2 linked regions of the Drosophila melanogaster genome follow. The protein of the gene in region 2 purifies or fractionates together with the protein of the main gene of each other region. This does not show direct contact. Each region holds a gene or a part of one and is shown on either strand. Other genes may lie near its edges.

Region 1 (5,169 bases), on a different chromosome or scaffold from region 2:
CCGGAAAAGAACAAAAACGATAGTCCGAACCTAAATCAGGCTGAAATACCCAACATGAGCAGCTTGGAAATCGGTGGAAGTGGAAGCCAGCAGAATCTGGACGAGGACAATAACAAGGTGGCTAGTCGGAAGTACTCAAATCAATCGCGCTGGTCTCAGTACTTGGAAGATCCCATCAAGTACTCCAAAGATCCATGCTCCACCATGGTTTTAGGTAATTTCAAATATGAATTAATCGTTATAGATTCTTGAGTATATTAATATTTAAATTTTTATAGAACAATTTGATGCGTACAAGATTGCAAACGATATGGATGTAGAAACATTGCAAAACCATTATAAAAAGGTTAAACAGATAGAGAAAAAGGTAGGTACAATATAATCGGAATAATAATATCATTTATTAAATATATATTCCAATTACAGCGGCGATTCAATCGAGATGAGATACGCAAGAGATTGGCAATCGGAGATAAAGATTCTTTAAATAATGGTAAGACCAAAGATATTCTTTCATTACTATATTTTCTTAAATATTATATTTTATATTTAGACATTAAGAAGGAGGAATTTCTAACCGGATCCGATAATGAAAGTTATAGCTCCGACTCTGAGACGTGTCCAAAACTATCAAGTGGAGTACTTCGCAAGCAATCTGAATTCTGTGAAACGAAACGCAATAAGGAATTTGAAAACGATAAAATCTTTCAAAAGAACCAAATCAACCAAGATAAAAGCATGAATCATATGAATGGCAATCCCATTGGTACAACAGATTATCCGTCGGATGAAAACTTGTTTTTCTTTGCGAATCAATCAAAACTTCAAATAGAGGTTAGAATAGCACTAGCTCAATCGAAGGAAATAGCTCAGATGAAAGTAAAGGTGTGTTTTCCACAGGATTTATTTATTTTTTATTCAAATGTAATTGTAATTATCTATTTGTAGGCAAGGAAACATGGCGTAACTCCCATTGTGGACGTAATTCGATCAATGCTGTGTGATGTTGGCATCAAAATGAACTCCAACCATCGATGGATTTCGAGGCAGCTGCTCACTGGAATCCAAGTTCCGACTCTCCAGCTATTGGTCAACAATCTCCAGGAATATATTGAAAACCTAAACGTCACACTACTGGAGAGCCTTAAGGAGCGAGACGATTTGAATTCGGACCAAGATGATATATTACACGATCTCGAAAAAATAAATAACTTTTTGTATGTATACAAATATTATCTTATTTTAACTGTGTGTATTAATGTTAATATTTCTTTCTAGTGTTTTCCAACAGCAATCTGGACAGCAAGTCAATAAAATAGTTAGACACGGCCATTTAGATTAAACACTTGAAATTGCATATTTTATTAACAACTTGTTTACAAATATTATAATCTCTTGTATAATTGATAACAATCTACCGAGACCGTTTATAAAACACATACTCAAATGTTCTTCAAACACTGTTATATTTATGTAATTATATAAAGCTAAATAAATAAAAAATACAACTAATTATTTATATTAACACTAAACTAAATTTGTTTTTATAAAACACCTGTGTATTGATACAAGCAGTTATTTATATATTTATTTGATTATCTAAAATGATATATTTTTTAAGAATATGATATAAATGTGAGTGGAACGGTTCGAAATAATTTTGTTTCTTGATCGTTTCAAAGTTAGGCGTTTTGAAAGTGCGGCATTTGATCAACATGTCGCACGGTAACACTAATAATGACTTTAATTTGGCGCCTTTTTGTGCTTGCAACAATCAATTTGCCGCCTCTTGTGAAATATAGCAGTCAAGATGTTGAAGAACAAGTCCATGAAAACCTCAAAGTTATATGTTATTAAGAGAGGTGGGTTACAATTCCTTGTCGCTATGACTGTTCTTAATATATTTATTTCAGATGGCAGGCAGGAGGAGGTGCACTTCGATAAAATAACCTCAAGAATCCAGAAGCTTTGCTACAACTTGAACATGGATTTTGTTGATCCTGTAAGTTTGTTTCTATTGTTTAAAGGTGCTCATCACACAGGTTGCACTCGAACCTAGTAAGTATGATGCGTATTTATATGTGATGGGGTTTGATTTTATCTGCAACAGAATGTGCGAGCGCCCCTGGTGAAACTCATGTGGGAGTCCCAAGATATACAAACCATTTGTAATAAGTTATCAGCAGATTATTTGGGAAGTTTTCCTGATGTGTTATTATGCTTTATCTTTATAGGTTACTATCACCCTGCAAGTCATCAATGGTCTGTACTGCGGCGTGACCACCCAGGAGCTGGACAACTTGGCAGCAGAAATCGCAGCTGGATTAACATGCAATCATCCCGACTACGCCATCCTGGCTGCTCGCATTGCAGTGTCCAATTTGCACAAGGAAACCAAGAAGGCTTTTTCTGGTAAGTTCATAGCTTGTATTCTGAGTTCTTCGGTTAATCCAATCATGATTCTTATTAGACGTCTTCGAGGATCTGTATAATCATGTAAACAAGGAGACGAATCAAAAAGTGCCCTTGGTATCCGAGTTTCACTACAATGTGGTTAAGAAGAACGCCACACGGCTGAACTCGTCCATAATCTATGATCGTGACTTTGGCTATAACTATTTTGGCTTCAAGACCCTGGAGCGTTCCTATCTGCTCAAAAGAAACGGAAAGATCGCAGAGCGACCGCAGCATATGCTGATGCGCGTGGCGATCGGAATCCATGGAGAGGATATCGATGCGGCCGTGGAAACTTATAATCTTCTATCGGAGCGCTACTTCACGCATGCATCGCCCACACTGTTTGCCGCTGCCACAAACCGGCCGCAGTTGTCGTCGTGTTTCCTTCTGACCATGACAGCCGACTCCATCGAGGGCATTTTCAAGTCTGTGGAGCAGTGCGCCATGATCTCCAAGTCCGCCGGTGGCATTGGACTTAACGTACACTGCATTCGTGCAAAGGGCACATCGATTTGCGGCACAAATGGAACTTCGAATGGGTTGGTTCCAATGCTGAGGGTTTTCAATAATGTGGCACGTTATGTGGATCAGGGAGGCGGCAAGCGTCCCGGTGCCTTTGCCATTTACCTGGAACCCTGGCACTCGGATGTCTTTGAGTTCCTGGAACTGAAGAAGAACACAGGCAAAGAAGAGAATCGCGCACGCGATCTGTTTTACGCCCTGTGGATACCCGATCTCTTCATGAAACGCGTGGAGGCCAACGGTGATTGGTCGCTCATGTGCCCCCACAAGTGTCCTGGTCTCCACGACGTGTGGGGCGATGAATTCGAAAAGCTGTACGAGAAATACGAGCAAGAGGGTCGGGCCAACCGAACGGTTAAGGCTCAATCCCTGTGGTTTGCCATCATTGAGGCGCAAGTGGAGACCGGAAATCCGTACATGCTGTTCAAGGACGCTTGCAACAGGAAGAGCAACCAGCAGAATGTGGGCACAATCAAGTGCAGCAACTTGTGTACGGAAATCGTAGAATACTCCGCACCGGATGAGATAGCAGTCTGCAACTTGGCCTCCATTGCCCTCAACATGTTTGTAACGCCGGAGAAGACGTATGATTTCAAGAAGCTCAAGGAAGTCACCAAGATAGTTACCAAAAATCTAAACAAGATAATTGATATCAACTATTATCCTCTGCCAGAGGCAAGGAAATCCAATTTGAGGCACCGTCCCGTGGGCATTGGTATTCAGGGATTCGCTGATGCTTTGATTCTCATGCGTTTCCCGTACGAAAGCGAAGAAGCCGGTCTCTTGAATCAGCAGATATTCGAAACGATTTACTATGGCGCCTTGGAAGCCAGCTGCGAACTGGCCCAGACCGAAGGTCCATACGAAACCTACGAGGGCAGCCCGGTAAGCAAGGGAATTTTGCAATACGACATGTGGGACAAGGTGCCAACGAACCTGTGGGACTGGCAGAAATTGAAGGAGTCCATTAGGATGCACGGTGTCCGGAACTCTCTGCTTGTTGCTCCCATGCCCACGGCATCTACAGCTCAGATAATGGGCAATAATGAATCCTTCGAGCCCTACACCACAAACATATACACCCGGCGAGTTCTGTCCGGCGAATTCCAGGTGGTCAACCATCATTTGTTGCGCGACCTAACCGAGCTGGACTTGTGGGACGACGACATGAAGAACCAGATCATATCCAGCAGAGGATCGATCCAAAACATTGAGACCATACCCCCGAAGGTGCGCGATCTGTACAAGACGGTGTGGGAAATCTCGGTCAAGTCCACGATTAAAATGGCCGCCGATCGTGGTGCGTTCATAGATCAGAGTCAGTCGTTCAACATACATGTGGCCGAGCCAAACTATGGAAAGCTGACCTCCATACATTTTTATTCCTGGAAAGCTGGTCTCAAAACCGGAATGTACTATCTGCGCACCAAGCCAGCTGCGAATGCCATTCAGTTCACCGTGAACAAGAAGCAGGGTGCAGTGAGCATGAATGGCCAGAATGGCACCGCCGAGGGAAGCCCCCAAAAGTACGAAGAGGATAGGGAACGGAAAATGGCCGATATGGTTTGTTCGCTCGAAAATAAGGACGCCTGCATGTCCTGCGGTTCTTAAAAGCATTCACATAGACTAATATATTGTATTTAATTGTAATATCACTACGTTGAAATAAACTTAAATTATGAATAATTCAAATAGCTGTTACCTTCAACAAGCGCATTTATAAAGGTACTAAACAATTTATACTTTATTTTAAATTACAATCGGATGCTAAACGTGCTTTAGATTCTTTGGGAATGTTGATTGTGCTACTCGTGTAATGGCTGTGAACGACATCCTTTGGCGTGGACACATACTGATGGGACATGGCATTGTCCGTGATTATTTTGCGCACCACTTCCTCAACCGTTGGCGCCGTCGCCTCCAAGTCCGCTTGGCTCTTGTTGTCTAGGTTGACGAGAGTCAGTGGCTGATCGGAATGCATTACGGAATCCATGCCGCCCTTGGCATTGCAGATGTCCAGTACCCAGGACACCACAAAGAAGCAGGCGGCGTTCATCGGAAAAGCCCGGATCAAGGTGGAGTTTAGACCGCGAAAGAAGTACTGCGGTCCCTCGTTCCTAAAGCCCTTCATGGCACAGTCGATGAAGCCATTGTATTTGGCATTCGCGCCCAGGGCATCGGCCTGCATGT
Region 2 (6,025 bases):
GATCCGCCGCTTCCGCACCTTTGGCATGCTGAAGCATCTCAAGCCGCACTTTCTCGATTAGATCAGATCCGCCCTCCGATCCTCTCCAGATGCAAATATATGTGTATGCCTCTCCGCCAGCCTGGTTTACCAATCCCCTGTAACTTTCGGCTCCGCCTGGATTTGTTTGTTCCACAACCTTTGATTAAGATTTAGTTGACGCATGTGTTTAGCATTACCCTAATTAGGACGGGTTTGCACATTATGCACTTTACGGCATTTTAGGAATAGTTCAGATGAACGGAAAATTACAAAAAAAAAATCGATTATAATACATAATGTGTATGATTTTTTTTATGACAAACTCGTGTAGTTTACATTTTATAAAATATCAAAGAAAAACATAACAAGTTTAAGGCAAGTACCGAGTAATAAAAAGAGAAATAGACGAGTGATGCATCTGAAAAATACGAAAGCAACTTTTCCTGGTTTTCATTTCGACGGGGCTGCTGGGGGAGAAATCAATCAGTGGAACAGATCTAATTGCTCAATAAAGAATCCCTTTTTTATTGTTTTGCGTTTCTCACAAATTTCTTACAAACATTTTTCACTTTTTCTAATATACATATTAGGTGTATATGCAGTGTATATATATATATAATTCTCGATCTGATATATATGCCAGCGTGTATATAATTGAATAAATGGAATACCTTGCACTGCTGTTCCATTAACGCTCTCGGGACGAAACGAAAGTACAAAAGTATAATCATAATCATAAGCGGGGGCCATAAACATTAACAAATTAAGTACGTAAACAATACGAGAGGTTAAATCGATCACTTATTGCCCAGCTGTCGTAGCTCAAAAAAGGGATTAGTCAGGAAAGTCGTTAACATTAAAATGTACATGGATTTCACGCGAAAAAGTTATAGAAATGTAATGCAAATATGCTAGAAACCATTATACAAGTCAATTCCCATTAAATATATTATCAATTCCGAATTAGAAGTATACATTTAGAGAACTAATCGCGTCTTTTGAGCTACTGCAGTCTGATTGACAGGCGTTCGAAGTATTTAAAATAAATTCAAGTAACTGGCTACAAAAAATGTTGATGGGGATAAATTCTTGGGGCAAGATTAGTTTTGGGGATTAGAGAGTCATGTTGGATAGGTGAACGGAGAGAATACTCCTGCGGCTAAAGCGAGTGCTAAATACTATGTCGAAGACTTTAAATGCTAACGAAAAGCAACCAAGAATTCCGCTCGAGCTAAACTAAGCAATACAATGGTAATAGTAACTTTGTGTTCTCCTTTCCGTATCCTTTTGTGTTTTCCGTGTGTGTGTGTGTCAACAATTGTTTTAAATAGTTTTACTTCTTCGCAAAGACAATACTTTCGTTGGCGTTGTTGTTTCTTCTAATTGCTGGTGTTATTGTCCGCATCCGCCCGCCTTGCGTCCTAGTAGCGGTAGTAGTTGGGCTTGAAAGGACCGGCCTTGTTCAGTCCCATGTACTTGGCCTGCTCGTCGCTCAGCTCCGTCAAATGGGCATCGAAGGTGGGCAGGTGCAGGCTGGCAACATACTCGTCCATCTTCTTGGGCAGCAAGTAGACATCCGACTTGTAGCGTCCGGGCGGGGCATTGAAAAGCTCGATCAGGGCCAGGGCCTGGGTGGCCGAGGTGATAGACACGGCGAACGAGGGGATGCTGGAGCAGCTCAGATTGACCAGCCTGCCCTCGGCCAGAAGAATGATGTACTTGCCCTCCGGCCAGATAATGTGATCCACCTGGGAGCGCACCTTCTCCCAGGTCAAGTCCGGTGTGCGCAGGCCATTCACATCGATTTCCGTGTTCGAGTGGCCCATGTTGCATACGATGCAGCCACTCTTCATCTTGTCCATGTGCTCGCGCACCACCACGTTCTTGTTGCCGGTCGCCGTCACCACAATGTCTACGTTGCGGATCACCTCGTTCAGCTTGACCACACGGAAGCCATCCATACTGGCCTGCAGGGCGCAAATGGGATCGATCTCTGTGATGTACACAATGCAGCCCTACGATTGGAGATTGAAAAGGTGACAAAGGTATATCATACTAATGGTTGTGGGTGCCATTTACCTGCCCCTTTAGAGCCTGAGCACATCCCTTGCCCACATCGCCGTAGCCACAGACCACGACCTGCTTGCCACCGAACATCACGTCCGTGGAGCGCTTGAGGCTGTCCAGGATGGATTCCTTGCAGCTGTAGAGGTTGTCAAATTTGGTCTTTGTCACCGAATCGTTGACATTCATCGCCGGCACTGTCAGCTTGCCGGCCTTAGAGAGCTGATAGAGACGGTGCACTCCGGTGACGCTCTCCTCGACGATTCCCTTGACCAACTTGAACATGGTCGGGTACTTTTTTAGCATCAAGTGCGTGGCATCGCCGCCATCGTCCAGGATCATGTTTGGCTGCCAGTTCTCGGCGTTAACGCAGCGATCTATGCACCACCAGAAGTCCTCTTCCGTCTCGCCGCGCCAGGCAAAGATCGGGATTCCGGATTCGGCCAAAGCAGCAGCCACTTCGTTCTAAAAATAATAAGCAACGATATTGAGTTGTTTTAATAATGACAGTCCTTGAAGGCTAATAAAATGATTGTCAAACAGGTAAAACCCTCGAGAGTTGGCCTGATAAATCGAGTCACCCTAATGCGGCGTAAACATTTGCTAATATCTGACTTATATCGAGCTGATAACGCATCGGGCTCCATTCTCGCTAAGCACGGCACTCGTAGCTTGGCTGATAAGTCCCAGCCGATACAGGTGAATCAGCGTGACAGGCTGTCGGGGGCCGTGGGCGATAAAAGCTGGCACGGATGGGTGCATAAATGATCGGGGAAGGGCGCTCGCCCTCGCACTCGCATCGCTTCATTAGAGAAGCCATAAATTGTTTAGCGTCAGCAGACTCGTGATAATTGCATCAGCCACGCCGCAGGAATAGGCAAACAGATCGAGTAACCGCAGCCGATCCAATGCTGGAACTAAAACTGCGTCCGTAACTTCCACTCCCAATGGTATGGCGACCCAATTCAGGGCACATCAATTACTCAGCGATTGCCAAACACTTGAGCCGCGGGCGCTTAATTGATTAACATGGCTTGATTGATCATTTGTTTGCGTCGCCTGGCGTGACAACAATTGTCTCCAAGCGACCGAGCAGATCAAGTGACCGAGCACGCATATGCATATGAATTTAAATAAATATAGGAAAATGAGTTAAGATATCTCTTAAGAGATTCCATTAAATGCATTAAGCAGCCTATGAATACGTAAGAACCCTATGACATTTTCATACGACATCTCACCTGCGTGGAGTAGATGTTGCAGGCGGCCCAGCGCACGCTGGCGCCCAGTTCCACCAGCGTCTCGATGAGCACGGCAGTCTGGGCGTTGATGTGTGTGCAACCCACGATCTTGGCATCCTTCAGAGGCTTGTCCTCGGCCGCCCGCTTCTTCAGCGCTATGATGCCCGGCATCTCCTGCTCCGCAATCTCGATCTCCCTGCGCCCAAATGCATGCTGGGCGCCTATGTTCCTTACACAGAAATCGGAGCTGCCTTTGGAGTTCTTTTGGACCTTCTCCCTGGGCGGCACGTCGTCGCCATCCTCGCTGCTGCCCGTGTAGCTGGCGGAGCTGAAGGAATCCGTTGAGGAGGCACTAAGCGAGCGGCTCCTGTACCGACTTGTCTTCTTCAGAGCCGAGGACTGCTTGGTGGCCGGCGGAGGAACCACCACGCTGGCATCCTGCGGCGCCGGTCCAGCCTGCTGCTGCTTGTCGCCGCCTCCGAATCCAGGATCAACTACCACAGTGTCTGCCAGGTTGTTCATGGTGGAAGTAGAGGGTAATCTGGGGATTTCCTTACTATCCCTTAAATTGGCTCCTTGCTCTAGCTCCTAGTGTTCCACCTTCTGCGACTCCAGAGCTTGCAATCCTTTTCCGCTGCTCCTTTGAATGGGCGCCTTGGATGTTATGTAAAGTCTGAAATCCAAGCAGGATGCGCTGCAAATGGCTAGTGGTGTGGCCTGGGTCTATACGAACTGCACAATCACGTGATTTATCGACGTTGTGGAGACCACAAATTGCTAAATTAATTGTTTTTAGTGCGAGTCTCCTTTGTTTCACCTCTCCACTATTGTTTTTGTTCTTCTTCTTCTTTTGCGAATGGGGGGCTACACTTTGGATCCGGGGCTTGATGGGAGTTTCCGGAGAGGGGATGATGATGCAGCCGTCGGCTTTCGGGCGACGTTGTTTGTGTGGCGACCAAGTGGGGGATCGTTTGGCGATCGCTTATTGAATTTGATTTTATCCGGAGAAAAGAGAACTAAACCGAACCGAGGACAGTAAGCGAGACACGCGAAAATACCAAAAGCAGAAGGCGTTAGTGCTATTCTGCAAGTGTGGTAAGTTCCCACTGAAGAAAGGCCAAAGTAACGACTTTTTAACTGAAATCGTCTAAAAATTAATTTTTATAATTTCTTACCATTAATTATGTGTTTATTTTTTAATGAGCAAAGTAAATAAAGTGTGATTTACAACTCCTCAGCTGCAAGTCTTTTAAATCTGGTAGCTGGATAATTTAATGAGTCAAAAAGAAATTGGCAAAGTATTCGAGGTTTATTAAAAACAAATAGTTAACACATTTGGCCTACATATCCTCCTGTAGGTAGCCGCACAGCTCGTAGTCGTCCGCCGTGTTGACCAAGTGCGCTTCCCTAAGAAGGCCCTCCTTGTAGGTCTGTCTCTTGACAATCAAACGCGACAATTCCTCCGGTGCAAGTGGTCCTTGCTTGGCGTGTTTCTGGATGAAGTCCGCCGCCAGTTGTCGATCCACGACGGACATCTCGAGGCTGCGACTCCAGGCGAGCAGGGCCAGCGGTCGCTGCGGACTCAGAGCCAGCGAGGGTGACACCAGATGGCGATACAGACAGCCACCCACGATGTCTTGCAGCTGCTTCACTTGGCCGGGAAAAGCGCAGGGATGGTAGAGCATTACGATGGCACCTTCCGCCAGATTACGCACGTATCGCTGAGGAGGCAAGTAGGAATAGGTGCCATATTCAGCGGGCATCGGGCGATAGGGGCCACTGATAATACAGATTTGAATTTGAAATTAGCAGGAAACTATAATATTGTTCGCCTTACTTGGTGGCAGGCAGATGGGAGTAGCTAATGGACTCATTAAGGCACTTGGCAGGCGGCAGATAGGCGCTAGGTAGAAAGTGCTCCGTAAGAATGGCTTCTCTGGACAAATCCGGTTGGTACAAGCTGTGATTACTACTGATGCATAGGAAATTCAGGCTGTCACGGATGTCGTTTGGATCGAAGTCCACGGCAAGATTGCTCTGAAAATTGTTAATAACAATGATAGAAAAAGATGACTAATACTAAGCATTCATCGGTATTTAGGGGAAGTATTAGTTATATTGCCAAACTCACCTTGCCATCATCACAGCTGCTTTGTTTAGTCTTGTGCGATTCATTGGGACCCTGCGGAAACAATTTACCCTGCCAAGTATCCTGTGTGGTGGACTTCCCCGACTTGGTTTTGTTATCGACCAGCGGTTTTTTCTTCACCAAGTGCGGCTCTCCGGGAGCTTGTGGAAACCACTTGCCCTGCCAGCCATCCTTGGTTGTGAACTCCAGCGGAGGAACTTCCTCCGTGGTGCTCTTCATTTTTAATTCAATCGCTTCCTGCTGTTGTCCAGGGGCATGGGGAAACCACTTGCCCTGCCAGCCATTCTTGCCGGGCGTCGCACCTAATGGAACCTGCACACGTTGCACATCATTGGAAATGTCGGGTGGGGACTTCCCAATCTTCCCTAGCTTCTCATCAGGATCAAGAGTTGGCTCCAACAGATTGGCCTGCGACTTCTTGATGGATTTCGCATCGATGAGGGCGAACCCAAGGCACAAGAGGGTCAAGTAATGCCAAATAAACATAATAATTGCAAGCAAAAGAAAAACAAAAGCGCAAAATAAGCAAACAAAAATATAATTAAGAACT

The links.
Region 1: the proteins of AhcyL1 (region 2) and RnrL purify together in Drosophila melanogaster (affinity purification with western blotting, with the first as the bait; one study listed by BioGRID). This does not show direct contact.

What each region holds. Positions count from the first base shown.
Region 1 is NT_033779.5:10,324,520-10,329,688, reverse strand, and holds RnrL (ribonucleoside diphosphate reductase large subunit), read left to right. Parts: upstream 1-1,745; 5' UTR 1,746-1,810; coding exon 1,811-1,862; intron 1,863-1,913; coding exon 1,914-2,002; intron 2,003-2,234; coding exon 2,235-2,412; intron 2,413-2,470; coding exon 2,471-4,590; 3' UTR 4,591-4,663; downstream 4,664-5,169. Other genes in the region: Schip1 (schwannomin interacting protein 1), read left to right, coding at 1-214, 279-367, 427-493, 554-885, 949-1,217, 1,279-1,342; CG4995 (uncharacterized protein), read right to left, coding at 4,724-5,169. UniProt on the Drosophila melanogaster protein: Provides the precursors necessary for DNA synthesis. Catalyzes the biosynthesis of deoxyribonucleotides from the corresponding ribonucleotides.
Region 2 is NT_037436.4:2,767,942-2,773,966, forward strand, and holds AhcyL1 (adenosylhomocysteinase like 1), read right to left. Parts: upstream 4,385-6,025; 5' UTR 3,849-4,384; coding exon 3,327-3,848; intron 2,551-3,326; coding exon 2,101-2,550; intron 2,037-2,100; coding exon 1,443-2,036; 3' UTR 525-1,442; downstream 1-524. Other genes in the region: Non2 (putative nucleolar protein 2), read left to right, coding at 1-61; CG12093 (uncharacterized protein), read right to left, coding at 4,667-5,105, 5,164-5,363, 5,458-5,961. UniProt on the Drosophila melanogaster protein: Might play a role in the regulation of methionine metabolism possibly by binding and inactivating Ahcy.